4 linked regions of the Tamandua tetradactyla genome follow. The protein of the gene in region 2 purifies or fractionates together with the protein of the main gene of each other region. This does not show direct contact. Links are inferred from orthologs where the notes say so. Each region holds a gene or a part of one and is shown on either strand. Other genes may lie near its edges. The genes, in order: SLC12A2, LGALS3, ECE1 and SLC12A7.

Region 1 (7,027 bases), on a different chromosome or scaffold from region 2:
TTTCATCTCCAAAGGTCACCGGCTGTTGGACTCGCTGCTTCTCGTGGCTATGTTGTTCTGCTCTCTCTGAATCTCCCATTCTCCAAAATGTTTACTCTTTTGTAGAACTCCAATAAACCAATCAAGACCCATCCAAATGGGTGGAGACATGTTGTCATCTAATCCAGTTTAACAACCACTCTTGATTAAAACACATCATTCAGGGAAATGTTCTGATTACAGTTTCAAACATACAGTACTGAATAGGGACTACTCCACCTTTACGAAATGGGATTTTGATCAAAACATGGCTTTTCTAGGGGGCATATGTGGTAGTTAGGTTCCGTTGTTAACTTGGCCAGGTGAACGTACTCTGTTTGTTGCTACGGACATGAGCCAATGGTACTCTGTTTGTTGCTGCGGACATGAGCCAATGGTACGTGAACCTCATCTGTTGCTCATTACACCTGCAGTCGGTTAGGAGGCGTGCCTGCTGCAATGAATAACGTTTGACTTAATTGGCTGGTACTTAAATGTGAGAGCACAGCCCATGCAGCTGGGCATTCCTCATCTCAGCACTTGCAGCTCAGCCCAGGCCTTTGGAGATGCAGAAAGAAGTCACCCAGGGGAAAGTTGTTGGAACCCAGGGGCCTGGAGAGAAGGCCAGCAGAGACCATCCTGTGCCTTCCCACATAAGGAAGAACCTCAGTGGAAAGTTAGCTGCCTTTCCTCTGAAGAACTAACAAAATAAATCCCCTTTTATTAAAAGCCAATCCGTGTCTGGTGTGTTGCATTCCGGCAGCTAGCAAACTAGAACAGCATACTTCCTTTCAAACAGGACAGTGACCTTAACCAAAATTTTCACTTGTAAAATGTGAGCAAAACTATGATTTTCTTCATAGAATTGCCATGAGGATAAAATAGGATTATGAATGTAAAAAGTTTAGGGCAGTATTTAGGACTTAACTGTTCAATAAATGTTAGCTGCTATTATTATCATCTCATGCCCAGATTACTGAAACCGTGCTGTCTTCCCAGGCTTACTCTTGCTCTTCTCCAAGCTTCTGTCCTCAGTATCAGAGAGGTCTTTAAAAAATGAAGATCTGACGATGTTCCAGCTCCTGAAAACCATCAATGGTCTCATATGACTTTCAGAATAAGAGTTTCATTTCTTACCATTCTTGACCTTTATCTCTATGCTTTATCCAACTGTCTTCAAGTTCCTTAGAGAGGCTACTTGGTACAATTTGGTCCTAATCGTCCTTCAGACCTTGGCTGAAACATCACTACCTCTCTGACTAGGTCACGCTCCTTCTATTTTGTATTCTCATTGCATCATGTCCCTTTTGCTCCTAGAACTTTTCAATTTGCAATTACATATTTATTATTACTATACATTCATTTGTATATTTCCTCCAACAGGCAACTTAAACTGAACTGATATCCCCCTAACCAAACCTGCTTTGTTCAGCATCTCCTCCATCTCAGAAGATAGCAATACCATTCTTGCAATTGCTCAAGTGAAAACCCTTGGATTCTCCTCCTTCTTTCATAATCTACAACTATCAGCAAAACCCTATTGCTTTCCCAGAACTCAACCACTATTCTCCATTTCCACTGCTATCACTGTGTTCCAAGCCACATAACTTCTTCCCAGATTATTATAACAGCTCCTAATATATCTCCTAGTTACTTTCTTTGGCCACATTATTCAACTCTTTTATTCTATCCCCAACAAGGCGGCTAGATTGATCCTTTAAATATCTGTCAGATCATGTCACTCTTCTAGTGAAACCCTCCAATGATTTGCCATCCCATTCACGATAAAAATGAAGTCCTTCCAATAACGAATGAGGTCCTATACCCACATTACAAACATTTAATGCCCCCAAACTCTTTGACCTAATCTCTTCTGATTCTCCCCATCTCTTAAGCAACTTCAGTCACACTAAAATGCACACTGCAATTCCATGAATCTGTCAGGAATTCAGGGCCCTTTGGGCTTTTGTTTTCCCTGCTTGAGAGGCTCTTTTCCCAAATATTCACATCACTGACGTCTTCACTCAAATGTCATCATCTCATTGTCGGCTTCCTTGGCCATCTTACCTAAAATTTAAAACTTTCGCCCACACACCACATATCTCATTCCCCTTCCCTTAGCACCCCCCCCCCACATGCAATATGCTTCAGATATATTTATCTTGTTTGTTGTCTCTCTCTAAGCTCCATAAGGAAAAGGACTGTTGGTTTTACTCACACTGTATCCCCAGAACAAAGCACAGCCCATGGGATGAACCCGTTCAGTTAAATGCATGTTGGGTTCCACAGCCACCGCATTGGTTGTGGAGCTGGAAGGCGCCTCACAGCCCAGCTCCTAAGGCTGCAATCTCCATCCTCTGCTAACGTTACTAAGATTCAAGAAGCGGTTTTTAAAATATTGACTACCTGACCCAAGAACTGTTTCTTCCTTTCTCCATCTTTAAAGCGGAAATAAGAAAACGAGTTGAAAAGTTGTCAAGGTCAAATATGATACGGATTTGCCTATTTAAAAAAAATTACCTGGTTATGGCGTTTTAAAAAAAATGCAAACTAGAGGCTCTCTGATCATGCAAGCATGATGTAAAGGATGATGTTTCCCTCCTAAATAATAAAAAAAAGTAGATGAATGAAAGACAAATGACTGAATACTGCCACTCATGGCTGTTTTTTCTTTTCTTTTTCTTTTTTTTTAACTGAAAGGCTTGAATAGAATTTGGAATAAAAATAATTACGCAGAGAAAAAGTTAAAAAACTTATTTTTCCCTACATTTTTACTGAAGAAAAACAGACCTTCCAAGCATAGGCATCCCTTTGTTTCTATGGAAACAGAGTTGTTCACAACCTACCCCAAGCCGGGCCTCGCTGCGCGCGCCGCCGTCGGGGCCGCCAGGCCTTTCCCGAAGAGCGTCGGGTTAAAACCGCCCCGAAGCCCCAAGACATCACGACGCAGCCCTGGAACCCTAAGACATCACCACGCAGCCCCCTTCTGACCTTCAAACGTCACGGCTAAAATAAAGATGCCGTCGGAAGGGCGGGCACGGGAAGGACTCTGCTTCTGCAAGCCTCCCTGACTGATGGGGCGCGGCGGCGCGGAGGACCCGCCTCCCCTCCGCCGGGGGCGCACCTCAGCCCCCGCCCCCGGAAGTGCCTCAGCACCGACCGAAAGCCCCGGCATCCCCCGCCGCGCGGGAGGCGGCCGGGCGCCGGCTCTGCCCTGGGTACCACGCGCCGGCGGGGACGCGGCCCGTCCGCTCGGTAGCATATCGCGAGATTTCGCCGACTCCGCCGAGCACTGCGAGTTCAGAAATCAAAAAAAAAAAAAAAAAAAAAAGCGAGAGCCCGGGAGCGGCCGCTGCGCTGGCGGCGCCCGGGAGCATCCGCGGCAGCGCCAGGCGGGGCGGCGCGCCGTTCGCCGCCCGAGCGAGGAGCCGTCCGGAGCGCCGAGGCCCGCAGCGCCGGCTCACTTGCGCGCGCCTCCCCGAGCGCGTGGAGAGGAAGCGGGCCGGGGACCCGCGCCTTTTCCCGCAGCGCGGGGCGGGGTGAGGAGGCCGGCGGGGAGGCGGCGGCGCGGAGATCGTCCCGGCGGCCGCGGCGAGGCCGCGCGTGCCACGTGATCCCGGTTCGTCTCCGGCGGGCCGCCTTCACGCGCGGCTGCGTGGGAGCCGCGGGGGGCCCGGAGCCGCGGGGCTCTCGCTGTCGCCGCCGCCGCCGCCGCCGCCGCCGCCGCAGGCTCGCGGGTGGGCGGGCTCAGGGGCGGGGCGCAGCGGGCCCCGCCTCCCGCGTGCTGCCGCCGGAGCCGCGACCGCCGCGGCCGCGCCGAGGCTTTAAACCGCGGGGCCGGCCCCGCGCTTGCTGCACTCGCGCGCTGACTCGGCTGCCGGCTGCGTCCGAGCGGTCGGGGCGGCGGCGGGCGGGCGGGCGAGCGGCTCCCTCACCCGGCGTCTGAGGGGGCGGCCACCGCGGGCCGGGGCGCGGAGGGCGCGCATTCCGCGCGGTCCGCCGGGTGCCGGGCGAAGATGGAGCCTGGACCCACGGCGCCCTCCTTCGGCGCCCCACGGCGGGCCGGGGAGACGCCGCCGGCCGCCGCGCTGTCCGCTGCCGGCGTGGACCTGCCCGGCACGGCCTCGGTGCCGGAGGATGCTGCGGCCGCGAGCCGGGGCGGCGGGGAAGCTCGCGGTGAGGGGGCCGCGGCGGCCGGGGATGGGCTGGGCAGACCCCTGGGACCCACCCCGAGCCAGAGCCGTTTCCAGGTGGACCTGGTTTCCGAGAACGCCGGGCGGGCCGCGGCAGCGGCGGCGGCGGCGGCCGGGGCGGGGGGCGGCAGGGAGACCCCGGCGGACGGGAAGGCCAGGGGCGAGAGCGTGCCGGCCAAGGGCAGCGAGGAGGCCAAGGGCCGCTTCCGCGTGAACTTCGTGGACCCCGCCGCGTCCTCGTCGGCTGAGGAGAGCCTCTCGGACGCGGCGGGGGTCGGCGGCGACGGGCCCAACGTGAGCTTCCAGAACGGCGGGGACACGGTGCTGAGCGAGGGCAGCAGCCTGCACTCGGGCGGCGGCGGCAGCGGCCACCAGCAGCATTACTACTATGACACCCACACCAACACCTACTACCTGCGCACCTTTGGCCACAACACCATGGACGCCGTGCCCAGGATCGACCACTACCGGCACACGGCCGCGCAGCTCGGGGAGAAGTTGCTCCGGCCCAGCCTGGCGGAGCTCCACGACGAGCTGGAAAAGGTGAGCGCCCGGCCCTCGCCCTGCAGCCCTCCCGCCCCGGCCACGGTCTGCGCCGGCCGGCCCTGCCCGGGTGCGGTGGCCGGAATGTGCGAGCGCGACCCGCTGGCACCGCTGGATTCAGCTGTCAGGGTGGACTTGCCGGTCGCAGCGTGTTAGGCTAGTCGTGTGATGCTGGCAGGACTGCGTGTACAGCCGTCCCATCCGCTTATTTGTGTGTTGGGTGCTTTTTAAATTAACCACCTGGTTAGCAAAACCCAGCCTGTCTCGATGACAACTCTGTCTGCAGGCCATGGGAAGGGACTGTGCGGGAGGTTTAGGTGAGGACGCCCTTGCAGACTGGAGCGCCCCTGCTCGCTGCGCCCTTTTTAAGGATTGCACTGGATGGCTTGGGTATACCCATTAGGGAATCCTAAGAGTGGTTGGTGTTTGAAGCCTAACGGGGTATGTTTGTGGTTATGAGTTCTTAAAGCTCATACTTGCAAACTTGGATATGCAAAGGATCATGGAGATCTCAAAGCTTAGAGCATGCTGTACCTGTTGATGGCATAAATGCATTTTATTTCTAAGGTAAACCTTTGGGAGAGGTTATCTAAAAAATAAAATTGGGGCTGGGAGGCAGAACCTTTAAATAATTTCGTTTTCTGTAGAGGATGTCCAGAAAGCAGTAAGCCCTCCAGTGGTCTTTGCATAAGCACTTGCACTTTGTGAACAGGAAACCATCCCCATAAACTCTACTGAGTTCTGTAATTTTTTTTTTAATGGCTACGTAAGCCTTATTTCTTCAGGTTTAGAATTGTTATTTTTGAGATAACATGCTTTTGAGATTCGATTAATGTTTAACTTTTATGACTTGGGATTACATTAAGTCTGTCTTTGCAAGTGTATAATGACTCCATTGATGGGATTGTGTGAATGCAAGGAGTTGGTACTGCATAGTTTGAAATCATCAGAGTATGGGAAAGTTTAAATACAGAATGTATGTGATTTCTTTTGGATGCGATTATTTGGGCTCATACATATATTTCGTACAAGGCAGCATTTGTCCCAAGGTTTAATAATGTAGCATTCATACAGTTTGAAAGAATTACAAAGGTCTGGACCCTTACAGCCTATTGATTGTTTAAAAGCCTGACATCATTTAGCTTTAGATAATACTCTTGTTATTCCATTGTGGCATCTTGTCATATTAGGAGCAAAAACTAATTTTAAACACTTTGCTTTTGTTTGTACTCCTGTACTGTAGTTTCTCTTCAGTCTCTTTGTAGGTAGATTGTACAGAGTCCTCAAATCTTTGTAGACTAAAGTAGATATGGAACTGATAATTTTCCTTTTCATAAGCACTTTTACAGTTGGAAGTATTATACAGATGTATTTCAGGCTTATTTCACTAAAGCAAGGTAGTTTAGCTGTAAAGCAATTCATTTAACCATAAGTTTCAGAAAGACTTTGAATTGAACGGTATTATTTACCTTGAAATTCTATGCTTCCTAGGGAAGTTTTGGTTATTTTAAATTAAATTCTCTCAGTAGCAAAGCATTTCAGTGATCCTGAACTTTAAGATCACTAAATGATCTTTGATGGATTTTTTGTTTTTTTTTTTTCTGTTAAAAAACAGAACACCTGTATTAGCTGTGTGATACTGAAGAAGCTTAGGTCTAACCTCTGAGTCTTAGCTTCCTCAACATTAAAGGTCATTGTAAAGATGAGAGAAAATAAAGGCCTAAGCACAGTGCTTGGGAAATACTGATTAGTGTAGTTATTGTTTTACCCTTGTATTTGTCCTTTGGAAAATACAGAGTTAAATTCTAGGATTTCAATTTAAGGTCGTTTCGAGTCCTATTTACTTAGATTAGTGTTGTGTATAAAATGTTATTTTCAGATTGTCATTGCTTCAACAGGTAGTCAAATGAATTCTTTGCTAATTTTTTTTTTCACCTTCCACTGCTGAGATCCTTTATTGCGATGAAAAAGATGTATTAGGTTAATTAAGTGTAGACTCATATACTAAAGATATTTGTGTGTAGAATTTTAAGGGAATTGGTTAAAGAAACACGTATGATCTTAAGTAGTATAGGAACAATCATGGCTGAATCATGGCCATGGAGATATACCTGTGCTGAAAGGGAGCAGGACAGCGGTGATAGGACCAGTTGGCGAGACCCCCAAAGTTATTCTTCATCCTGTCTAGATTGACTAATGATGTCCCCTTAGTACTTTCTCTAATGTTTCTTGTCCTTGATGAATCATATTATTTAGAATTTCTATACCATTTA
Region 2 (7,432 bases):
CCACATTTCAACAAGTGTTCCAAAAACTGGGAACACGCTGTTTGGGTTATGTCAACCTCTACCATCAGATCTCTTTTTTTGAAAAGAGTTGTAACAATGCTCTTTTGAAATCAAGCTGGACAACCTCAGAACATTTTTTTTAAGACATCTATTTTAAAATTAGCATCTAGCTGCCTGAAAAATTTCTAGCTACACTTTTTTCCCCCCAGATGAAGCAGTTTACAGAGAGAAGGCCAATTAAATGTAAAAGAAAAAATCTCCCTGCTCCAGAGATATGAAAACTCCATTCTGGCCTTCCCAGAATCAGAGAATTTTGAAGAACCAGAAAAGAAACACTGCACGAAAGACAAGGCACCCCCAAAATGGGAAATCCTACCTGGGTCTCCATATTTGGAAAACTTACAGTAATTCAGTGTAGCTTTAGAATGAGGAACTTAAACAGGTGCCGAAATGTAGATCATTTTCATTGGCTGGTAGCTGGTAGCTCTTCCCTTTAACATCGAGTAGCTTACCGTACCATGCAATTCTAGGCCACCCTAGCAATGGACCCACTCATCTGGGTTATCAGGCACAGTTCTGAAATTTTTGCTCGAGGGGCCCTGACCGTTACAGAAATGTTAATGGAAGTAGATGATGAATGTATTACCTCAGAACCCCAGAACCCTGCACCACTTTCCTCCCTAAGGAACACAAAGGGGGGGTCTACTTCCTGAAACACTCAGCGGAGCTGGGGGAAAGTCCACTTTCCACAACCCATGTTAAGCGGGGTGAAGGAGACCCATCCTTTCCTGGGATTTCTTTCTCATGCTAGTTCCTCAGGAGCAAGGGAGGCAAAATTACTTTGTGCTTCTCAGTTACTGGTTCTTTTTCCCTTATGGAAAAGCTGAACAGTAGTCAAGAGAGAACATGATACTTAGTCCAACGCAATTGGAAGTATACAGCAAGCACTGCCCTGGAAGGCTCTTCTGTTACCTACTCAGAATTTAATGAGAAGAACCACTTCAGGCACTACACACACAGAGCTCAATAGAACTCATGAGTTAGTTATTCAATTACCACGAGTTTGCAGGTCCATCAGTTCACAAGCTTACTAATACTTAAAGCCGGCACAGGGTACTCAAGTTATACTCTCTGATGATAGGTCTCTGTCGCAGTGGAAACTCAGCGTCTGGTTCATGAAGGTTCTAGGCAAACAGGATCTAAATTACAGATGAGATTGGCCCTCTTGACATCCTTAGCAATAGATCAGAAGTCTGCCTGAAGCTCCTATGTGTATCCGTAGCACTGCGAACTATCAATGATTAAATGATAGGAAGTCATTTCTTCTTGATAGGAAGTCAAGTCTCAGTAGAGCGAGGCTTCCCATTCTACTTGAAAACGACTAGCTTTGAGGGTCAATCCACCAGGCAGGGCAGAATGCCCCCTTTTCTGCTACTTATTTTACTTCATGAGGCAACCTCCTAACACTTCTAAACCCTAAACATTCATGCACCATCATCAAATTTTCTCCCAGGATATGGAAGAAGCGCTGCTTCTAAACCATCAAAACATGAATTTAGGAACCAGCTCGAATCTCCAAAAGATCAAGGATGAGGCAGGACCATCAAAGAAATGAAAGTCCCATTCCAAAAATTCAAAGTCAAAGGCTAAAAAGGAGACCATTTTTCGTGGGAAAATAAATTTTTATTATTAAACTTTAACTTTTATGGGAACAAATACTTTTCCTAGAAAACTTTCTAAACATGAGGCATACAAATCAAAATTTTGGAAGATGGTGGGATTTTTCTCTGATGCACTGCACCCAAGTAGTTCATTTTCTCTCTCTCATTTTCTTCAGAATTAAAAAAGCCTGCCTGCCCTTCTTTTCCCAGAATCCCAGAAGGAGACTGGGTCACCGAAGTCCAGCTGACCTCACTGTCCACGACCCATTTTACAAATATTCCACAGTATCTGAAATAGGAATGGCTGGCTCTGAAGGGCTGGGGGACCCAAGTCCACCGATAGGTGCCTGTCTCTCTAGCATCTAGCACCCAACCGCCAGTGGCCGCATTTTTACTTCTGTTTGATAAGCTGATAATTCAGAATATATCCTCAAACACGTTTTAAAACCCCCCAGCTGAGGCTCTGCACAATTCTGCCGCTCCTGACACATCCCTAGCACAGATATGAGCTTTTATGGCCCAAAGTAGCCAAACTGGGCAGGGATGAGTCACTTAACAGTTTAGGGTGTGCAGACTTTGCAAAAGCGACGCATGCTCCGGACGCCTGGGGGTGGGGTGGGGAGGGCAGCACCCTTTTCCGTGGAATCCACATTCAGAAAGCTGGCCGCAACCCCTGTCTCGGGACTGTTGGGCCTGTTAGAACTCTTTCCTGCCCTCACCAAGATCTCCTTGTAGAGATAAAAGTGGCCCGGGCAGCGGGATCACAGGTCCCAAAAGCCGCCCTACGCCTGGTTTCTAATACCGGAAGAGAGGGGGCTGCTTGGTCGGATGCGGGGGTCCCGCCGCAGCACGCTTGCTTGCATTTGCACCAAGCCGTTTCGGAAGTGGCCCAACTCGGGTTCCGAGAGACTCCACGTCCATAAACCACAGACGGCGGAGGCAGCGGGAGGGTGGGGCCCGGGTGCGGCCGGGGTGCGTCCTCCGAGCGCCCAGAAAGCGGCCGGCGCCCGGCTCGCCCAGCGGCCGCCGCCTCGCCCGCTCGCCCTGAGCGCGAAGTTCCGTCGGTCGTGGCTACCTGGGCCCGGTCTCGGGCCCCGTCTCGGGCCCCTCGAACGTCCGAGGCTCCGCGCCCCGCCCCGGGACGGCGCCCGCAGAGCGCAGCCAACCTCCCTCCCCGGCTTCGGCCGAGCCCTCCCGAGAACCGCCACGCCCCGAGCGGCGCCCGCGCCCCCGCGCTCCCTCCCGCGCGGCCCCGCCGCTCACCCTCGCCTCGGCCTCCGCTACGTGGCTCTCCCGCTCGCTCCCGGGGCGCTCCCGGCCCGACGGCGGCTCCGCGCCTCAAATACGCCCACCCCGCCCCGCCTCTCCCGGGGCGTGACGGCCGCAGGGTTCCCCACCCCCGCCCCGCCCCCGGGTGTCCGCCCCGCGCGCGCCGCTCCGGGGGGCGCTCGGCCGGGGACGACGGGCCAGAGGCTCCGCCCCCACGAAGGGCGACGCCCGCGGCCCGGGGTCCGTCCCCGGCGGTCCCGGGATACTGGGCGTGGCCGCATGGCCCGCGCGCTCGTCGGACTCCGCCGCGGACGCCGACGGCCCGCGGGGAAAGTTTGCGAAGTTTTGGGCGTTTGGGTCGCTGGGGGATTTTGCGTGCGGCCCGCTTGCTTGTTTTACCTTGTTCGGTTATTTCCTGCCCGAATCCCAGGCAGTCGCATCCCGCCCTCATTTTGCTTTACCTTTAACTCTCTCTCAGCATCAAAGTCGTCCCAAGAATTGCACCCTGGAAAAAAAGAAAGGCATTTTAGCAAACAAAAACCACAAACCTCTTCCATAAAGTTATCCTGACTTTGCATCCTATACGCTTGATTTTTTTTTTTTTTTTTTTTGAGGAAGTAGTTTCCGAGTTCGTACTTGATATTCTGAGCTCCTGATTCAAATATGTCCTGAGTCTGTGTGAAGCTGACGTGGGTTATACGAGTAAATGGGTAAGAAATGTGGAATTTCGTAAAAATTTCTTAAGTAATTATGTTTTATATACAAATAAACGGATTTCCTGTACGTAAAATATCACACTGATTTGAGTGTGACCAGGAGGTTCTGTCAGAAAGTTTTCTGAGCCGCTGAGGGAGACGTGTCCACATTCTTCCCCTTTGAAGGTGTTCATTCGCCTTCCTGGCCTGGGTCCAGCAAACCTGTGATGTGGGGACACGCGGGGTCGTTCTGCTCTTTGTAAGCCCTGTATCCTCAGCGTCTGCCCCTAGGTTTCGCACGTAGTAGGATCCCGGTGAATATTTGTTTAATGAATGAAGAAAAGAAATAAAGAATGAATGACATCTTAGGAAGTCAGAATGTCTGTTTTCTCACAGATTGGAGAATGGGACAATGAGCAAATGCAAAAATTACCTTTGGTTACGGTGGGAAAGGACAAAATTACAAATGTAGGAAAGGTTGCTACAGCAAATAATGGTACTTGCTGAAGGGAGGTGATATTTGGTTGCAAACACTTCACTGGGTAATAACTGAGTAAAATGGTTAGGTATGTCCAAGGTTTGTCTGTTTGTTTTAATTCAGATAATAATTAAAACAACTATATTAATTGAGCAGTTATGTCTCTTGAACTATGTGCAGTACTTTACATACCTATATGAGATGGGTGTTATTTTTGTCCCCATTTTACAGGTGAGAAAACAGAGGCACAGAAAAGTAGATATGACCGTGATCATAACATCGATCAAGTTGAAAGTGTGTCAGGGTCTAAGAAATAAGGTGTTGAATATTCACTGCTCAACCAGCTGAAGCAAAAACAAACAAAATGCCATCACCACCAGGCCACAGAAAGTTGTAGATTTAAAAGGAGCTTGGAAGGGTCATTCAGAAATGTAAAGAATGGCTGCCCACAAGGTAAAATGATCTCTGAGGGAATGAAGAAGAATTACTCTTTCTACCCCTTTATCTCTAGTGCTTTCTGTGTGATATTTCAGTTCAGTAGTAGAGTCTCCTCTCTGAAACTGGGATCCTGTGTCTGGTTGATAGCATGTGTGAGAGAGCCTCCGTACTGCTTGAGTGGATACACCTGGGAGTTTTTAGATTTGGGGCTAGAGGAAAGGATTTTGGTACTAGAGAATGGAGTCAAGTCTAGAGAAGGAATGTCTGCACCCGCTCTCAGCCTAGCCTCTTTTGCTCGTTTGGTTGGAGCCCCAGGCAGTGGGAGTAGGCCAGAAGTTGATGGATCTGGAAAGCTTTGAGAGACGCCCGCATCAAGGCCCAGGTGACAGAGTACAGTCCCCCGAAGGGAGGCTAACTCCCACCCCAGGGCAGTGCTGTCACTGCAGACTTCCAGAGACAGCCCCATGGGATAGGCATTAGCATTCTCCCACGGGGCGGGGAGAGCAGACACAGGCAGATGCTGCAGCAGGCTGGAGCTGCCCGGCTGACGGGTCCTCAGGAGAGGGGGCCTGCTGAGGAAGAACAGCCCTGCTCTTAGAAGAACCGAAGTGTTATGGGAAGCCCGTAACCTCAAGCAGGACAAATGAGACCTGGCTGGAACTGGCCCACTGGTGTTTGTGATCGAATTTTGTGACACAATACACGTGGTCTATGTTTTGGGCACTCAGTAAATAAAAAATCGAAAATGGGAACGTGATAGTGATATAATCTCACTGAAACAATGTGATTGAGGGATAGAGATTAATGAAGAGCCTGAATTACATTTTATAAAAAATAGCAGTAGCTTGCTACTCTAAAAAAGAGGGTAAATGATTGTTTGCAAAATGGATGATTGACAATGGGCTGCAACTATGAAGTTGGATTATATTAGGCAATGTGAGTGGCCTCATGATACTGGCTACCTGGGACCTTATAATGTCAGGGGACAAAGAATAAGGTCATATATAAAGCTGTATTGCTACTAAGGAAAAATTAAAGAAGTGAGCATTTTAATTTGGAATTTCACTCTGACCTTTCTTCCTCTTACCTCCCACTTGCTCAGCCCACCCCAGCCACTCCTGCCCCCAAAAGCTGTTCCTGTGGCACTCCTGACTTTGCATCCTTGCCCTGGCTGTTCCCTATAGCTGGAATACTCTCCTCCTGTCATCTACTCACTCTGTCACCTACTTTAAGCCTTTACTCAAATGTCACCTTCTCCATGAGGTGTCCTCTTGCCCCCCCTATGTAGAATCAAATCCACCACCTCCCACTGCCAACCCCTCTTACCCCCTCTAATTTTTCTTTCTTTCCACAGCCCTTATCAGCTCTAGAATTTACTTATTTACTATGTGTGTTTGTTATCCTTGATTTCTCCCTGCTTTTCCTTCCTGCACCCCTCCCTGAGGGCACAGTACTTTGTTACATTGTTCACTGATGTTCCCAAGTGCCACTCAACAAATATTTGCTAAGTGAACAAGTTTGTGAGCACTGGAGAAAAATCCAGTGGACTGTTTGATGTTATTGTGTTTTTTTTTTCCTTTTTTTTTTGCTTCAGTTGTGCCCACTGCTTGTGAGAATATCAAGAATTCTCCACTTGGGGAAGTTGAATTTTCCCCCTTTCTCACCATTCCCCCAAGGGGACTTTGCAAATACTTTTTTATTCACTGTTCAAATCACTCGGGTTTATCAGGACATCACTCTGGACGAACCTACAAAATCTCATGCCCTACTCAAGTTTCCATGTGCTTGTAGCATTCAGTTAAACTGTCCACAAAAGTCATATTAGGAGATGCACTAGTCAAAATATAAATTTCATACCAAATAAACATTTTTTGCTTTAGTCTCACACATAAGTTAAAGTTTTAAAATATTAATTACCATCTATTTTCAACACCCTGAAATATTGACGTTCCTTTGTTCTTCCTCATGCAGAAACATTTTTAAATTCGTACGTTTAGTCACTATCGTTATACACTCTAGGCACCCCTAGATTATACCATCTCAGTCTTTATCGTCTGTCTTTCCTTCTGATTTCGTTTGTGCCCCCAGCCCTCCTCCCTCTATCATTCTCACATTCAGCTTCATTCAGTGTTCTAACATTGTATTACAGTTAGGTAGTATTGTGCTGTCCATTTCTGAATTTTTACAATCAGTCCCATTGCACAATCTGTATCCCTTTGGTTCCAATTACCCCAAATCTACCCTATTTCTATCTCCTGATGGTCTCTGTTCTTAACTGAAATTCTCTAAGTTCATTCACTGATGTTCGTTCATATCAGTGAGACTATACAGTATTTGTCCTTTTGTTTCTGGCTAATCTCACTCAGCATAATGTCCTCAAGATCCATACCTCATAGCTTTATTCTGTCTTACAGCTGCATAATATTCCATCGTATGTATATACCCGCAGCTCGTTTAGCCACTCGTCTGTTAATGGACATTTGGGCTGTTTCCATCTCTTGGCAATTGTAAATAACGCTGCTATAAACATTGGTGTACAAATGTCCATTTGTGTCCTTGCTCTCATGTCCTCTGAGTAGATATCTAGCAATGGTATTGCCAGATCATATGGCAATTCTATACTTAGCTTCCTGAGGAACCGCCAAACTGCCTTCCACAGTGGTTGTACCACTTGACATTCCCACCAACAGTGGGTAAGATTTTATCGTTTTCAACCCCTTTCCTCTGATGCCCCTTAAGATGATAAAAAACTAAAAGAGTAAAGAATTCAATTCATAGAACTGACTAAAAATTGACTGCTTTTTTTTTTTTTGGATAAATAGAACTAGTCTCAAAGCAACTCCATTATCAGCCAACTTCTTAATATATCTTGCATAGTAAATTCAAATTAT
Region 3 (6,930 bases), on a different chromosome or scaffold from region 2:
TTGAAAAATCAAATAGCTTAGTTTCATGGCTGCCTGTCAAGAGAGAGAGATTTGGGGTGTGCTGCCAAATTTTCAAAGTCTAATTTAAGAGTTGCAGTTGTGTTTCCAGCACCAATCTGCAAGGAGCCATCTGAAAAGCTCAGATGGTCACCCAAGTATTAGAACAATTGCACCTAAATGTCCAACTACAGTGGACTGAGTAAATAAATGCCTTTTTACATATTGACACCACGAGGTATAATGACTTTGTTTAAGAGTTTATTTAGGTGTTTTTCTTTAGGTGATTTTTTTTTATAATCATTCTCTTCTTTAGGTGATTTTTAATGGCAGCATATTTCGTAAGTTTTTAACATAAAAAAATGTTTATGAAGTGGTGCTAGGTGAAAAAAGGATACAGCATCATGTACTAGAGTGTATTAAGGGAGCTCAACTACACTAAAAAAAATATATGCATGTGTGAAACACCAGACTATACCAAAAATGCTAAAAAGGCTATCACTGAGTGGTGGGATTACTGCTTTATAAAAAAAAATCCTTTTTTATATATATTATCCATAAATAAGCAGGTAAAGCTTTTACATTGAGAACAAAAAAGTCTAATTCTTAAAAACATAAGGCTACTAAAAAGCTCTGCTTTGCCAGGTGAGGTGGATGGGTTCTTGACTGTGGTCAAGAGCAAGCACTGGTTAGTTCAAGTTTGCTCTGGGGAAGTCACAGAGGGTCAGGGCAGGCTAGGCTGGGTACCATGGAAAGGTCCCAAATCCCTGAGCCAACTTTTCTGGCTTTCCCTGCATGAAAAGCTGAAGATGTGCCCAGTTCTGCCACTTGGTGCAGAAGGACCCACAGTGAACTCCAACCCACACGGTATCTGTGTGCCCACCAGAAGGTCCCCTTCTCTGACACAGAAGATGGGGGCAGCAAATTTTACCTCACTGGGCACAAAAACAGTAACAATGACCCTAGCAGGCCCAATGCTGTGTGCTTTCCATGCACTTTCTCTAGCTCGCATTTTACAAATGAGAAAATTATGGCTTACAGAGATTAGGCGTCTTGACCAAGGTCATGAGTGAAGTCAAGAGTGCAGACCCAGACTCCTGGCTTCAGAGACTGGGCTCCTTCCCCTGCACTAAGCAGCCCCACATGCATGGGAGGTACTCCGTGATCTGCAAAAGGCTAAACCCATGTGGGCTGCTGCCGTAGTGACAACACAGCATATTATTTTGTTGCGAATTCCAAAATGCTTTTGTGTTGATATATTTAGAACCTTCTGTGAAAGATGAGACTGAAAAAGATTGCTGATTCGATTCTGTTTTGACTTGTGAGGGGAAATTGCATGTGACAGGCATCTAATTTCCTGCTGGATTTAGCCTCTTAAGAAGGGTCCACAGGGAAGAGTCCTAGACAGACCTAGGTCTGATTTTTTGCTCACGATTTTCTAGCTCTTGCCTTGACCGAAGGCAAGACATTTCCCGTCTCAGAGCTTCAATTTCCATATCTGTAAGTAGGAAAAGTAATCCCTACAGTTTCTGGGGATAAAGCTTCCATACCCAGTGGATAGAGCACTTGGGCTCCTGAGTTCAGATCTCCATGGGCCTATTCAACTAATCTGGAGGAGGGACTCAATCAGTGCTATTTCCCTTTATTCGCATTATCACTCCGGCTTCTAAGAGGCGTACTTGAGTAGGACTAGACCTGCCCCCTAACTTTACACCCACTAAACCTGCCCTCAAGATGAGCTGTGATTTGATGTGAGTTCACTGGGGGCGGGGGGGGGGGGGGCTAATACGTCTCCTCTGTGTCTCCCTTCCCAACCTGGCAGAAGCCTCCTGTCTACACTGGTTTCTCAAGAGCCCCACTAAGGATCCTGGGTGTCTCCACATATCCAACTCGCCGTGGCCCACCCCCCTGGATTCAAACCCCACCAGGTGGAGGCCCTCGCCAGGAATGCTCCTGGCAGCCCCACCAGGAAGCGACAGTTCTCTCAGATTTCAGGGGGCAGACCCTGGGGAAGGGAGGAATTGGGCTTCTCAGGTAAGCTGAAAAGGGGGAGGGACAGAGAGAACAGAGGATGGGCTGGGTGCCCCCACACACTGGAAATTCAGGTATTTGGGGATAAAGAAGAATGAGGTAATGCCAACCATATAGGGTGACCAACTATCATGGTTTGTCAGAAACTGAGGGGTTCCCCAGGATGCAGGACTTTCAGTGAGAAAACTCACTGATGAGTCCCTGGGCCAGGCTGGGGCTGCCTCCTCTGTGCAAAGGGAACTGGACCAGTTCAGGTCTGACTGTGTTCCAACTCTGCTACCTGGGCTAGCAGCAGAAGCAGGGGCTCCAGAGGATTTGTCAGCTGGTTAGGGGAGGCTGGCGGGAGGCGGGGGCAACACCTCAGAGACCCTCTCACCCGGGAAGGATTCTTGCCCAGGCTGGAACGCCCCCCTTCCGGGTGGCAGGACAGGGCGGGAGTGGAGGGAGGGCAGTGCCAGGACACATGCCCAGGCCTAGGGCACCTGGAGCCCCGGGATGGGGGGGGGGGGCGGCAGAGGGAGAGGACGCCTACCTGGAGTCCGTTGGGGTACACGTCGCCTTCAGAAAGCGAGTCCACCAGGTCCTCCTCGTCCAGCGTGGCCCGCTTATAGGTCGACATCTGCAAGGCCAAGTGCAGCACGGACTCCCTCAGCGCCTCCATGGCTCTCGTACCCGAATGGGGACGCGGCCCCGGCGCCGCCACCACCGCGCCGCGCCCCGCCCCGGCCCGGCCCGGACACCCGAGACCGGCCCACGGACCGGCCCGCGGCAGGGAAGGGGGTGTCCCCGCCCCCTCCGCCCCCCCATCGCCGTCCCCCTCCGCCCCCCCATCGCCGCCCCCTCCGCGCTTACGCAACGCGGGGCCTCACCCCCAGCGCCGACAGCGCGGTGGCCACCGGGTGTTGGGGCCACACGCCCCGCATGCTGAGCCCCGTGGCGCCAGAGTTGCACTCGCCGCCGCCGCCGCAGCCACCGCCACCGCCACCGCCGCGCGCCGGGCGGGCCGGGCCGGGCCGGGCCGGGGCGGGGCGGGCCTGGCATTGAGCCGCCTCCGCGGGCGGGGTCTGCTGGGCGCGCGGCGCGGGGGTCCCACCCTGGGCTCCCGGGAGACCCCCGCGGCCCGAGAGTTCCCGGGGAGTGAGGGACCGCTGTCCTCCCTTGAGGTCAGCAGAGGAGTCCCCACGGCCAGCCCCCAGCAGCCAGGAAGGGGCCTCGCTGCGATCGCTCTAAGAAACTCTGAATTCTTCACTAGGAGAAGACCCCAATGGCAGATCAGAAGTATTAGGAAGGTACCCACCCACCAGAGTCAGAACCGTCCAGCAAGAGGTTTCCCTCACCATCAGCCCTGGGGGGGGGGGGGGGGGGGGGCGCCCCCCCCCCCCCCCCCCCCCGCCGCCAATCTGAGCCAGAAAGATTAGAAGGGGGTGGGGGCGGGGGAAAAGGTGCAATAAAAAAGAAAGGTGTTCCCTCCATTCATTTCTTCCTTCCTCTGGCTCAGGGATCTTTAAGCCAGAGCTTATGAAGAAGTTTAGGAAGTCCCAGAGAACTCCCTGGACACAACGAAAATGCTGTGTGTCTGCACCTGGGTGGGGTCATCCAATGCTTGCCTCCAAGTTCAAGGGTGTGACCCTCCCCCAAAACACTAAGAACCACTGCTACGGGGTAAGTCAGAAACCAGGAAGCGTCCCTTCCCTCCCCCCTTCCCTCCTCCAGCAGATGTCCTGCCCGGCTCAGGAGCCCCTGTGACCCTAGGGAGGAATTGGGCTTTCTCAGATGTCAGATGCTCAGGTAGGGCCTCCAGGCACTCTCCTTTCCACCCCAGACCCAGGAAAGCTCCAATCCAGAACAATTTCCTGAAGAAATTTGCTTTTACTGAGACTTGGAATCCCCTGAACTTATGCACACTTTTTGCCTTTCCCAAGTGCGCTTCTGTTCATTCCCAGAATTGATTCTCACGATCACACAAATGTGTGAGGAAAAAGGCTAAGAGAGGTGAGGTGTCTGCCCAAGGTCACATCGACAGTGACAACAGTGGCTTCTGACCCATCTCTCAGCCTCTACTCTCCCCCGTTTGGACAGCCCAACTTAGCAGCCTTTGAGCCTTTAAAAATGAAATTCAGATCTCGCCACTCCTTTGCTTAAAACCCCTCCACTGTCCAGTCCCTGTCCACCTCTGCCCCTCATCTTGTCTTCTACACCTCACTCAGGCCTCACTTTTTTAGTCTTCAGACAATTTCTCAAATTTTTCAAGTTTCTCCATCCCCCAAGACCTTTAGACCTGCCGTTCCCTCTATCTGGAACATTCTTTCCTCATCTCTGCTCCTCCCATGGCTGGCTCCTGCTTCACATCTTAGCTTAAATGTCACTTCCTCGAATGTGCTGACCACCTTATCTAAGTAACTTCCCAAATTCTCTATTACAGCACTTAAAAAAAAACCCTTTTTAGCATTTATTGTAGACTTATTTTTGTTTGTTTTGAGTTTTTTATTATCCATCTCTCTCCATCTTCCCACAACGTCCGCTTTATGAGGGCTGGGACCTTGTCTGTCATGTCCAACAGAGAATCCCAGGCAGCAGAACCAGATTACGTGCTCAATAAACAATTGTTAAAATGAATGGAGGAAATGGAAGGGAAGTGAAAATTACTCTGGGGCATTGCCTTTCAATCCTTACACGTCCAAGGAAGAGGAAACACATCTCAGGAGCACATGCCCTGGAAGCCCTGGGGGAGGCAGGGTGTCAGGGAAGAATTTTATTCTGAAATCTTGGACCTCACTCCCACTGTATGAAGAGTTCCCATTACCCACCAAAGAAAGAGAAAGGACTCCAAGGCTTCTTCACTTAACGTTGGGTTACAGTTGAGTTTTCTGAAACCAGGACACTTAGGCTCAGGTCACGGTTTGGGAATACAATCTCACCCCTGAGATATTCAACCTGGACCCAGAAACTGGGGACGTGCACTGTACAATGAAGGGAGAGGGCTTTGGAGCCAGGCGCACCTGGGTTTGAATCCCATACCATCCTTTTCATGCTGTGCAAACTTAACCCCTATGAGCCTCTGTGTTTTCACATCTAAAATAGGGCCATAGTAAAACTGCATTACAGCATTTTTGGGAGGACAGGTGAGTTGAAGTATGTAAAGTATATAGCTCAAAGCCTGACACATAGTAAGCACTCAACAAATGACAGTTTCCTGTGGCATTATTAACTAAATGGACCCCCAACTGTGATTACACACCCCCAGTGACAGGAAGCTTTAAGGCAAGTCTTTCTGTCTAGACTGTCAAATAAAGCATCTCTTTATAGATTGACAGCCTGGATTATTCTGATGAGAAAAAAAAAATCCACCTGGAGTCAGAATCTAAGAATATCAGATGTGGTTGGGATACCGCAATTGAATAATCCAACCTCCTCTTTTTACATGGGATTGAGAGGAGGTGGTAGCTAATTCTCTGAGAGGGGTAGGGATATCCCTAAAGTCATACAGCAAATTAGTGGCAGAATGGGAACTCAGTACCATTTCTCCTAGTTCCAGCCCATTTCTTTCCCCATAGTAACAGCCGTTTTCAGACTAGGTTCTATGCAGCTCTGGAGGTTGGCAGAGGTACCTCAGAGTAATTTCTATCTGGGCTTCTGTGGGGGTAAAGTTCTTTTGCTATAAAACAAAATGGTGTGAAGAGAACACTGCACAGTATCTGCCCCTTGGTATGGTCTCAATGAGCTGCAAACACGGCCCCAATTCACCAGAGAGTTCTCCCCATCACCATGGCCCTCCACTGGCTTCCCTGCATAGACCGGCCCAGAGGGTCTCCCCAAGTCCTTGAGAATCCCTTAAGTCCTGCACTTCCATCCCATAACCTCCCCACTGCCCAGAGTCTGCAGGGCAAAGGTGCTACCTGAGGCCTCCACCTGAAATGGAGACTGAAGCCCTACCTGGAAACAAGGAGGAAACCGAGCAGGGAATGGAGCCCAGGGTGGGAGTGCTAAAGGCCCCAGGAAGGGGAGGCGGGGGAAGGCAGAGAGCAGGGCCCCAGGGCCCCTCGGTTGAGAAGGTGTGGCCCCTGCGAACCTGGCCCCCAGCAGGCTTGGCCAGACACTCCCTCAGGGCAGGGGCCTTAGGTGGCCCCCACTGTCTGAGGAGGGCCCGGGTCTCCAGAGGAGTAGGGGCTGAGGAGGCAGGCAGGCCTGGTTCTGATTGCAGCAGCCTAGCTGAAATGCTGTGTGCCTTGGACAAATGGCAAATTTCTCTGAGCCTCAACTTTTGCATCCTTGCGAGGGGAAGATACATGAAGTGTCAGGCAAGGGGGCCAATCACCTGATGAAAAAAGCCCTTGAAAAAGAAACCTGATTCACCAAACATCTCTCCAGCCAAGCATAACCGCTCCTATTTTCAGGGCACCTGGTGGGTGCGAGGTGTTTGCTAGTTCCTGCACACCCGTCACCCAATCTAAGCCTCCCCCTGCCCTCGGAGGCCCCTTGGCTGAGAAGGTGCAGCCCCTGCAAACCTGGCCCTGAGCAGGCTTCTTTTACAGAGAACCAAAGTGAGGCTCAGGGATGTGACCTGCCGAGATGCACTTAAGCAGGGTCTCCCCCTCTTCCCATCTCATTTCAGGGGTCACCCTGCTGGGAAGCAATCCTGACCACCCTCTCCCCCTTTGCCAGGGTTCAGTCCCCTTCTCTGTGTTCCCACACAATCCCTCTCCCACCCCCACCCCACCCCCAGCACAGAGGCTGGGTCAGATTGGGCCTGGTCTGAGGCTGGGGCTTCCAGGGCTGTTTGAGTGAGGGTGGGAGGCAAGGGAGGGAGGCTGGAAACCCATCCCAGGGGCTGACGGCTGGGCTGTCCTGCCAAGGAGAAGACAGCTGAGATGGGGTGCTTTTCTTTTTCAGCTGACAGAGGAT
Region 4 (7,003 bases), on a different chromosome or scaffold from region 2:
CACTGACTGCACATGCGCACACACACACTGACATATGCATGCACACACACTCATACACTGCACATGCACACACACTTGCACACTGACTGCATGCACACACACTCATATGCTGCACATGCACACACACTCGCACACTGCACATGCACACACTCGCACACTGACCTGTGCATGCACACACTCATACACTGACTGTGCATGCACACACACTCGCACACTGCACGTGCACACACACTCGCACACTGACTGCACATGGACACACACTTGCACACTGACTGCGCAGGCACACACACACACTGGCTGTGCATGCACACACACTCGCACACTGACTGCGCATGCACACACACTCACACACTGACTGCATGCCCACACATTCATACACTGCACATGCACACACACTTGCACACTGACTGCACATGCACACACACTTGCACACTGACTGTGCAGGCACACACACTCACACACTGTGCATGCACACACACTGTGCATGCGCACATACACTGCGCATGCACACATACACACTGACTGTGCAGGCACACACACACTCCATTTTCTGCGGCTCCTTGTAACTCTAGAGTTACTGTTGACCACAGGATAGAATTCCAAACCCCACATAGGCCCAGCCCCATCCCAGCCACAGGACCCCAAGGGCAAGGCAGCTTTCCAGCTGTCTTACAGCGGAGCGATAGACAACCAAACTTGCCCTCCCAGCCGCGCCTCCTCACTGGGCAACCTGCATGGAGGCTGGGTGCCCCCAAGCCATCCCATCACTGGCTTGGGGCACCTCAGGGACTCTCAGGCCCCTCACATCTGATCAGGGCACTCTAGAGGGGCTGTGCGGGGCCAGGTCCATTCCCCGTTTCCCACTCCACCCAGCCCTGGGGGTCCTGCCTTTCCCCTGGTCCCAGGCTCCAAGGCTCAGGGCCACAGGCAGGGATGTGTGGCAGTGGGCAGCACCTCCACCTGCTGGGAACCCACATCCTGGATGTGACCAATGGACAGCAGAGGACAGCAGAGCTCCATGGCCTGGTTCCATTCACAGAGCCCTGGAGATCTCGGGGACCCCAGGCTGATGGGAGGGGCACACACGTCCTCCTGGTGGCTTTCTGACCACTGACCTCTGGCCACCAGCTGTCTTGCTTTTCTGCCTGAGCTGACTTGGCAAGAGCCCTCTCCCCCGTGGGGTCTTCCCAGGGTGTGGTGGGCACAGGACTTGCTGAGGATGTGGTGGGGGACAGAGAGAGTTTGCCACAGCCCAGAAGCCCCAAATCCATACCAGAACCTGTTGTTGGTCTTCCCGTTCTAGCAGCCTCCTGCCCCCCTTACTCCCACCTCCTTGTCCCCCGGCAGCAGCTCCTGCCTTCCCGACCATGGGGTCCGAGCCGGTGCAGACCAGGGGCTGCAGGCAGTCTGAGACCCCCGCTCACAGGAGGCTGGGCAGGGGTGGGGGTGGGGGCAAGGAGCCTTTCCCTTTCCTTGTTCTTGTCCTGCTGACTTGAAGCAGATCACCAGCAAACCTGGGGGCGTAGCTGCTGCTGCCTCGCTCGGGGTCCCCAGGGGCTGTGGACAGATGAGGGCTGGGGGCTGGGTGGGCTGGAGGCACTGCTGTCACCCTGGGGCAGTAGGTGGACCCCTCGGCCTGGAGCTTGGCCCCTGCGGACCCTCTGCCCTCCTCTTCCCCGCCAAGACCCCACCAGCGTCTGGGGGCACGGGGAGCACTGATGGGCACATGGAGAAGCCGACCCTCTACACCTGCTGAGACGTAGCCCCCCCAGCTGGCGGTGCTGGGACCCCAGCCCACCCAGGGGCTGGGCACTGAGGACGGAGCTGCAGCTCGGCCCCCTCTACCACACTGCACGGGAATATGGGCTGGGGGGGCTGGGGGGTCAGGGCTGCACGTGGGTCCCAGAGGCCATTGGACTTCCCCCAAGGAAGCCAGGGGTGGTGGGAGGCTGCAGGGATGGGGGACGGGGGTGCTGGGAAGGGAGGGCTAGAAACCCCAGAAAGGACGTCGAGGGGAGGTGGAAGATGGGGCCTCAGAAAGGGACCCCAGGCTGCTTGGGTGTCCATGCAGAGGGAGCGTCTGTGTCTGCACATCTGTGTGTCCGTGTGTCCATGTGCCCCCACTTGTGTGCACACACCTGGTGCTGAGGCACGAGGTAGGGACCCAGGTGTCTGCCCCATTCCCGGTGAGCTGGGGGACCGCTGGCTCCAAACCCCGTCCCCACAGGGTGCTGCACCATCCTCCACCATCCTGGTGCCCCCCTCCCACCTTAACATCCTCGTCCAAAGCTGACCTCATCCCTAGAGCTCCTCTTTCTGGAGTCCGAGCACTACTGGGAGGCTGCGGCCACCTCGTAAGAGCCACCAGGGACTTTCCCACCTGCAGGGTAAGTCCAGGACTTGGCCCAGCTCACAGGGCCCGGCCCAGCCTGGCCCACCTCCCCCTGGCCTCCCCATGGGGTGTACGAATCCCACACTTTCCCAGGGCATCTTGCTCTCCATCCTCTGCTGCTGGACCCAACAGGCCCTGGCCAGCGGTGCCTGTACCTGAGCCAGCGGGCTCCCTCTGATCTCCACTGTCTATAACAGGACAGTCTCCCATGGGCCAGGTGTTCCTCTCTGCACCTCAGTCTGTCTACCTCCTCCCACCTGTCATCCCATCATCCACCCATCCATCCATCTGTATGCCCATCTTTCTGTTCATCCACCCATCTGTCTATTCATTCATCACTCTGACTAACCTTATGTCAACTGTCCATCCGTCCATCCATCCACCTGTACATCCAGCTGTCCATCTACCCATCTGCATGTCCCTCTGTCTACCCACCCATCTGTCCATCCATCCTTCTGTGTGTTCTTCCATTTGTCCATATACCCATCTATCCATCCAACCATTCATATACCCATCCATTCATTCATCCATCCATCTGTCCATCCATCCATCTGCCCATCTTCATTTATCCATCTGAACATTCATCCATCCATCTGTCCATCCATCCATCCATCTGCACATCCACCACTGGTCCATTAGGCCATCCAAGAATCTTTACATACATACATACATCTGTCCATCCATCCATCCATTCCTGACTGCCCATTTTCCCATGCATCAATTATCAGTCCGTCTGTCTGTCTGACGGTTCACTTGTTGAACGCTCTGCGCTGCGTGCCTAAAATGTGTCAGGCACTGTGGGTGGACAGCTGGATTAGACTCAAGGGGCTCTTGACAAACAGAGACTGGAGCAAGTGCAGGAGCTGGGAATAGCGTCCCCAGTGGAGACGACAGCAGGGCCCAAGGCCGGGGCAGGGAGAGGCGGACCCTACTGGCCCCACTCATGCCTGAACTGGACATGGGGCTTTGCCTTGCATGCCCACAGAGCTTGAAACAAGTCTGGGAGTGGGCCTGGGGTCACCCGGAGAGAGCCACGTGTCCTCACCCTGGCTGTTGGCTTTCACTTGGGATGGGAGAAGGCAGGGGAGGTGAAGAAATGGAGAGACCCAGAGTGGCCCCACAAGCTCCCTCCTCTCTGTATCCACAGTACTGTAGGGTGTGTGCGGGGCCCCTACACGTTTATGGTGAGCACGCTTCATGGCTGCGGACACGGGCGGTGCTGCCACAGTCCTCGGGCTCCTCCGTGAGCCCGCCTCTTCCTGCGCCCTGCCACTGCCTGTCGATGCTCTTGTCTCTCCCTGGACTTTGATTCCCCAGCCAGGGCCGGAGGGCCAGGGGGACGGGGCTTCCAGCGCGGCTCCCGGGCACACGCCTGCGGGGTGCGGAGCCAGTGAGCGCGCCGGGCGCCCCGTCGGGTCTGGCCCTTTCCGCGGCGCCCGGCCGGGCAGCCCCACGCCGCCCCCTCCGCCGCAAGTCCCCTGTCTCCCGGGCGCCCCGCCCCGCCCCCAGGCGCCCCGCCCACGCCGGCCCTGCCCGCCCCTGCCCCGCCCCCGGCGCCCGTCGCACCCGCCCCGCTCCGCATCCCGCAGCCATCTCGGCGCCCAGGGACGCGGAGGCCGCTCTCGGGCCACCATGTCCCAGCGCTTCGTGGTGACCCCCGCGGCGGGCGGGGCAGGGGACCAGAGGCCCGAGGCCGAAGGCAGCGCTCTGGAGCCGCCGCGGGTGGACGCGCTGCCCATCCTGCGCTACTGCCGCGAGCCGAGCCGCTATGGTAGGTGCCGCCGGGCCGCCCGGCCTCGTGGGACGCGCGGCCGGCGGGCGGACACGTCGCGGGCGCTTCGGGCCCGGCCGGGCGCCAAACCCTCGGGGCTGCGGCTCCTTGCAGGGCGGGAGTGTGGCGGGTGGGTGGTGGCGCTGGCACGGGTCAGCGCGGGCACCAGGCCCTCCCAGCTGAGCCGAGCCCTGCCCGCGGCGCGCGCCTCTCACCTCGGCTGCCCCTCTCACGTCGGCCGCCCGATGACTCTCAAGCGGTCCTGCTTCGCGGTGGGGACCCGCGGTGTCCCGGAGATCGGCCGGTGACAGCTCCTGGCTGCTCTGATCTCCGCTCAGGACCAAGTCCTCGTGGAAGTGGGGAGGCAAGAGACAGGGACAGGGGCAGGGACGCGTGCTGTGTCCTCTGTGTGAGGCGACCACCTGGGGGCCCGAAGGGGCAGCATGGGTGATTTTATAACTTCACACCCTCTGCTTGGCGCTGCTGCACAGCCACTTCCTATAACCCAGAATCGTCCACCCCTGTCCCCAGCTGCCCCTGGCCTCTGAGATGCCCAGCCTCAGCCTGGGCCCGTGACCTGTGGGTGCGTCCAGCTGTGCAGCTGCTGTTCTCACTGCCGGGCTCTGAAGGCAAGGGCTCTGCACAGCCCTGGGGTGGGGGACACCAGTAGGGGCGTCCCTAAGGCACGGGGTCCCAGGGAATGACCATCTGAGGAGATCCTTCCCCATCTCAACCCCAGGGCTTTCGGCCAGCGGGCAACCGCGGGAGTCCCCCTCCAGGGCCTCTGTGTCCACGCAGTCAGCTGGGTGGGCGGCTGTCCAGGCCTCTGCTGTGGCCTGCCCAAGGGAGTGTGCACACTGTGTGCATGTGTCTCGTGGGGGGGGCCCTTGGGGACGGTGCACCCTAACCCCAAAAGTGCAGGCAGAAATGTGAGATACTTTCCAGGACTTTGTGCTGAAAGCCACAATGATTTCTTTATCATGGGATGAAGTCAGACGGCTCTGCATGTGGGCATGTGTGTGTGTGAATCTGTGTGTACAGGCACGTGTGCATGTGTGAGAATCTCTGTGTGTGCATATGTGAATGTGTGTACATGCATATGTACGAGTTTCTGTGTACATGTGTGTGCATGTGTGAGAATCTCCGCATGCACATGTATGTGAGTATATGTATGTGCGTATGTATGTGTGTGAATCTGTGTGTGTGCATGCGCATGGTGTGGATGCTCCTTCTTTGGGACTGCAGCCGTGGGTGCCGATATGTCACGGCTCTGGGGTGAGTGTGTGTGCATGTACGGGTACCTGTGTGTGTGCACATGGATGACGGTGTGGCTGACGCCCTGTCTTCAGGGTCATACAGATCGTACACCCAGGTGTGAACTTGAGCCCTTAGTTGGGGGTCCCAGGTTTTGCAGGTCCTGCAGGTCCTTGCCCTGCTCTGGAGGAAACAGCTTTGATGAAGGGAGCCCTGAGGGTCTTCGGGGAGGGACTGGAAGGGGCAGCCCTGAGATGCTGGGTCCCGGCTGCCCCTGCCCAGGCCCTGACCCTGGCTGTCTGCGATCTCCCCGGGCACCGCCCCCCGCGCGTAGCTAAGCTGCTGGGCCCAGGTGGACGTGCCCCTCCTCACCCCTCCTGTGACCCACATGTCTCTAGCTGGGGATGATGCCTGGTGGGTACCTTCCATGGTGCGGGCAACTGTCTCCCAGCAGGGCCCGGTGGTGGGGGGCTGGGTCACACTGATCCCCAGGCTCTTCCAGGGCCCCTGTTGCCCGCTCACCCTCGGTGCCCACGCATGGGCCCGCTCCACCATGGCGGCTGGAGGGGGGGCGTGGGCGCAGCGTGGGTGGCCCTACCCACCAGGCCTGTTTCCTTTGGCCTCAGTTCGTGGGCCTTGGCTGCCCTGGGGCACGGTGGGCAGCATCTGCCCAGGACGCTCACTCGTGTTTCCATCTGGCCTCGGCGCCTTCTGGCTGAGCCTGCAGGATGCTCAGTGCAGCGCCCGCAGTGCCCATTTCCTCCAGGATCGGGAAGTGTCAGCTTCCTTGATGCATTGGCGTTTGCTTCACATTGAGGATTTAACAACCAGGGAGTGAGCAGGGTGTAACCCCTGCCACCCCTGGGCGCGGGGTTGGGAGTGGGAGTAACCGGTCACCCACCTCCCAGGCTGTTGCTGTCCTGCTGGCCTGCTGCCAGCCCCAGTCCCCAGCAAGGGCTGGGCCGTCCACATGTGGGCAGGGTGGAGGGAGGGTGCAGGAGGTGGCTGCCTGTGAGGGGTGAAGAGGTAACCCCAAGCACAGGGGAGGTTACCCCGTCGGAGGGCAGGGCAGGAGCTGGGGGCAGACTTGAGCTTGTCCCCTGGAGCGTGGGAGTTGACCCAGCCCTCTGGAGTGCCCTTTCTGAGGGCCCCAGTAGGGCCCAGAAGTGCAGAGGCTGCCTGGGCTGAGTTAGGAGAGGGGGCCATCAGCCTCTGATGCCCGACTGCTCAGACCTCAGCATCAGAACAGAGAGGCCACACTGAGCTCCCAGGGGACATGTGTCTGCATATTCCAGGAGTAGCTGTCTCTCTGAGTGACAATAATCCCATGGCTACCATGATCCATGGCCATCATGGCCCACGGCCACCACTATGACCCACAGCCGAGACTCATGGCTACCACAACCCAGATACTGTGACCTATGGTCACCACCATGACTCATGGCCACCACCATGACCCATGGTCACCATGACCTATGGCCCACAGCCACTGTGACCCATGACCCATGGCCATCGTGACCCACAGCCACTATGAGCCATGGTTACCACCATGACCTCTGGCCTCCTTGTGGCCAAACAACACACGA

What was found.
Region 1: the proteins of LGALS3 (region 2) and SLC12A2 purify together in Homo sapiens (affinity purification with mass spectrometry; 3 studies listed by BioGRID and IntAct, counting the BioPlex papers as one, with this or other methods). This does not show direct contact. The link is inferred for Tamandua tetradactyla from reciprocal best matches to the Homo sapiens genes LGALS3 and SLC12A2.
Region 3: the proteins of LGALS3 (region 2) and ECE1 purify together in Homo sapiens (affinity purification with mass spectrometry; 3 studies listed by BioGRID and IntAct, counting the BioPlex papers as one, with this or other methods). This does not show direct contact. The link is inferred for Tamandua tetradactyla from reciprocal best matches to the Homo sapiens genes LGALS3 and ECE1.
Region 4: the proteins of LGALS3 (region 2) and SLC12A7 purify together in Homo sapiens (affinity purification with mass spectrometry; 3 studies listed by BioGRID and IntAct, counting the BioPlex papers as one, with this or other methods). This does not show direct contact. The link is inferred for Tamandua tetradactyla from reciprocal best matches to the Homo sapiens genes LGALS3 and SLC12A7.

What each region holds. Positions count from the first base shown.
Region 1 is NC_135346.1:6,464,493-6,471,519, forward strand, and holds the start of SLC12A2 (solute carrier family 12 member 2), read left to right. Parts: upstream 1-4,019; 5' UTR 4,020-4,034; coding exon 4,035-4,754; intron 4,755-7,027. UniProt on the Homo sapiens protein: Cation-chloride cotransporter which mediates the electroneutral transport of chloride, potassium and/or sodium ions across the membrane. Plays a vital role in the regulation of ionic balance and cell volume.
Region 2 is NC_135338.1:10,966,054-10,973,485, forward strand, and holds the start of LGALS3 (galectin-3), read right to left. Parts: upstream 3,025-7,432; 5' UTR 2,925-3,024; intron 1-2,924. UniProt on the Homo sapiens protein: Galactose-specific lectin which binds IgE. May mediate with the alpha-3, beta-1 integrin the stimulation by CSPG4 of endothelial cells migration.
Region 3 is NC_135328.1:205,056,960-205,063,889, reverse strand, and holds the start of ECE1 (endothelin-converting enzyme 1), read right to left. Parts: upstream 3,015-6,930; 5' UTR 2,952-3,014; coding exon 2,898-2,951; exon of another isoform or gene 2,881-2,897; intron 2,648-2,880; coding exon 2,561-2,647; intron 1-2,560. UniProt on the Homo sapiens protein: Converts big endothelin-1 to endothelin-1.
Region 4 is NC_135335.1:49,362,059-49,369,061, reverse strand, and holds the start of SLC12A7 (solute carrier family 12 member 7), read left to right. Parts: upstream 1-4,000; 5' UTR 4,001-4,024; coding exon 4,025-4,163; intron 4,164-7,003. UniProt on the Homo sapiens protein: Mediates electroneutral potassium-chloride cotransport when activated by cell swelling. May mediate K(+) uptake into Deiters' cells in the cochlea and contribute to K(+) recycling in the inner ear.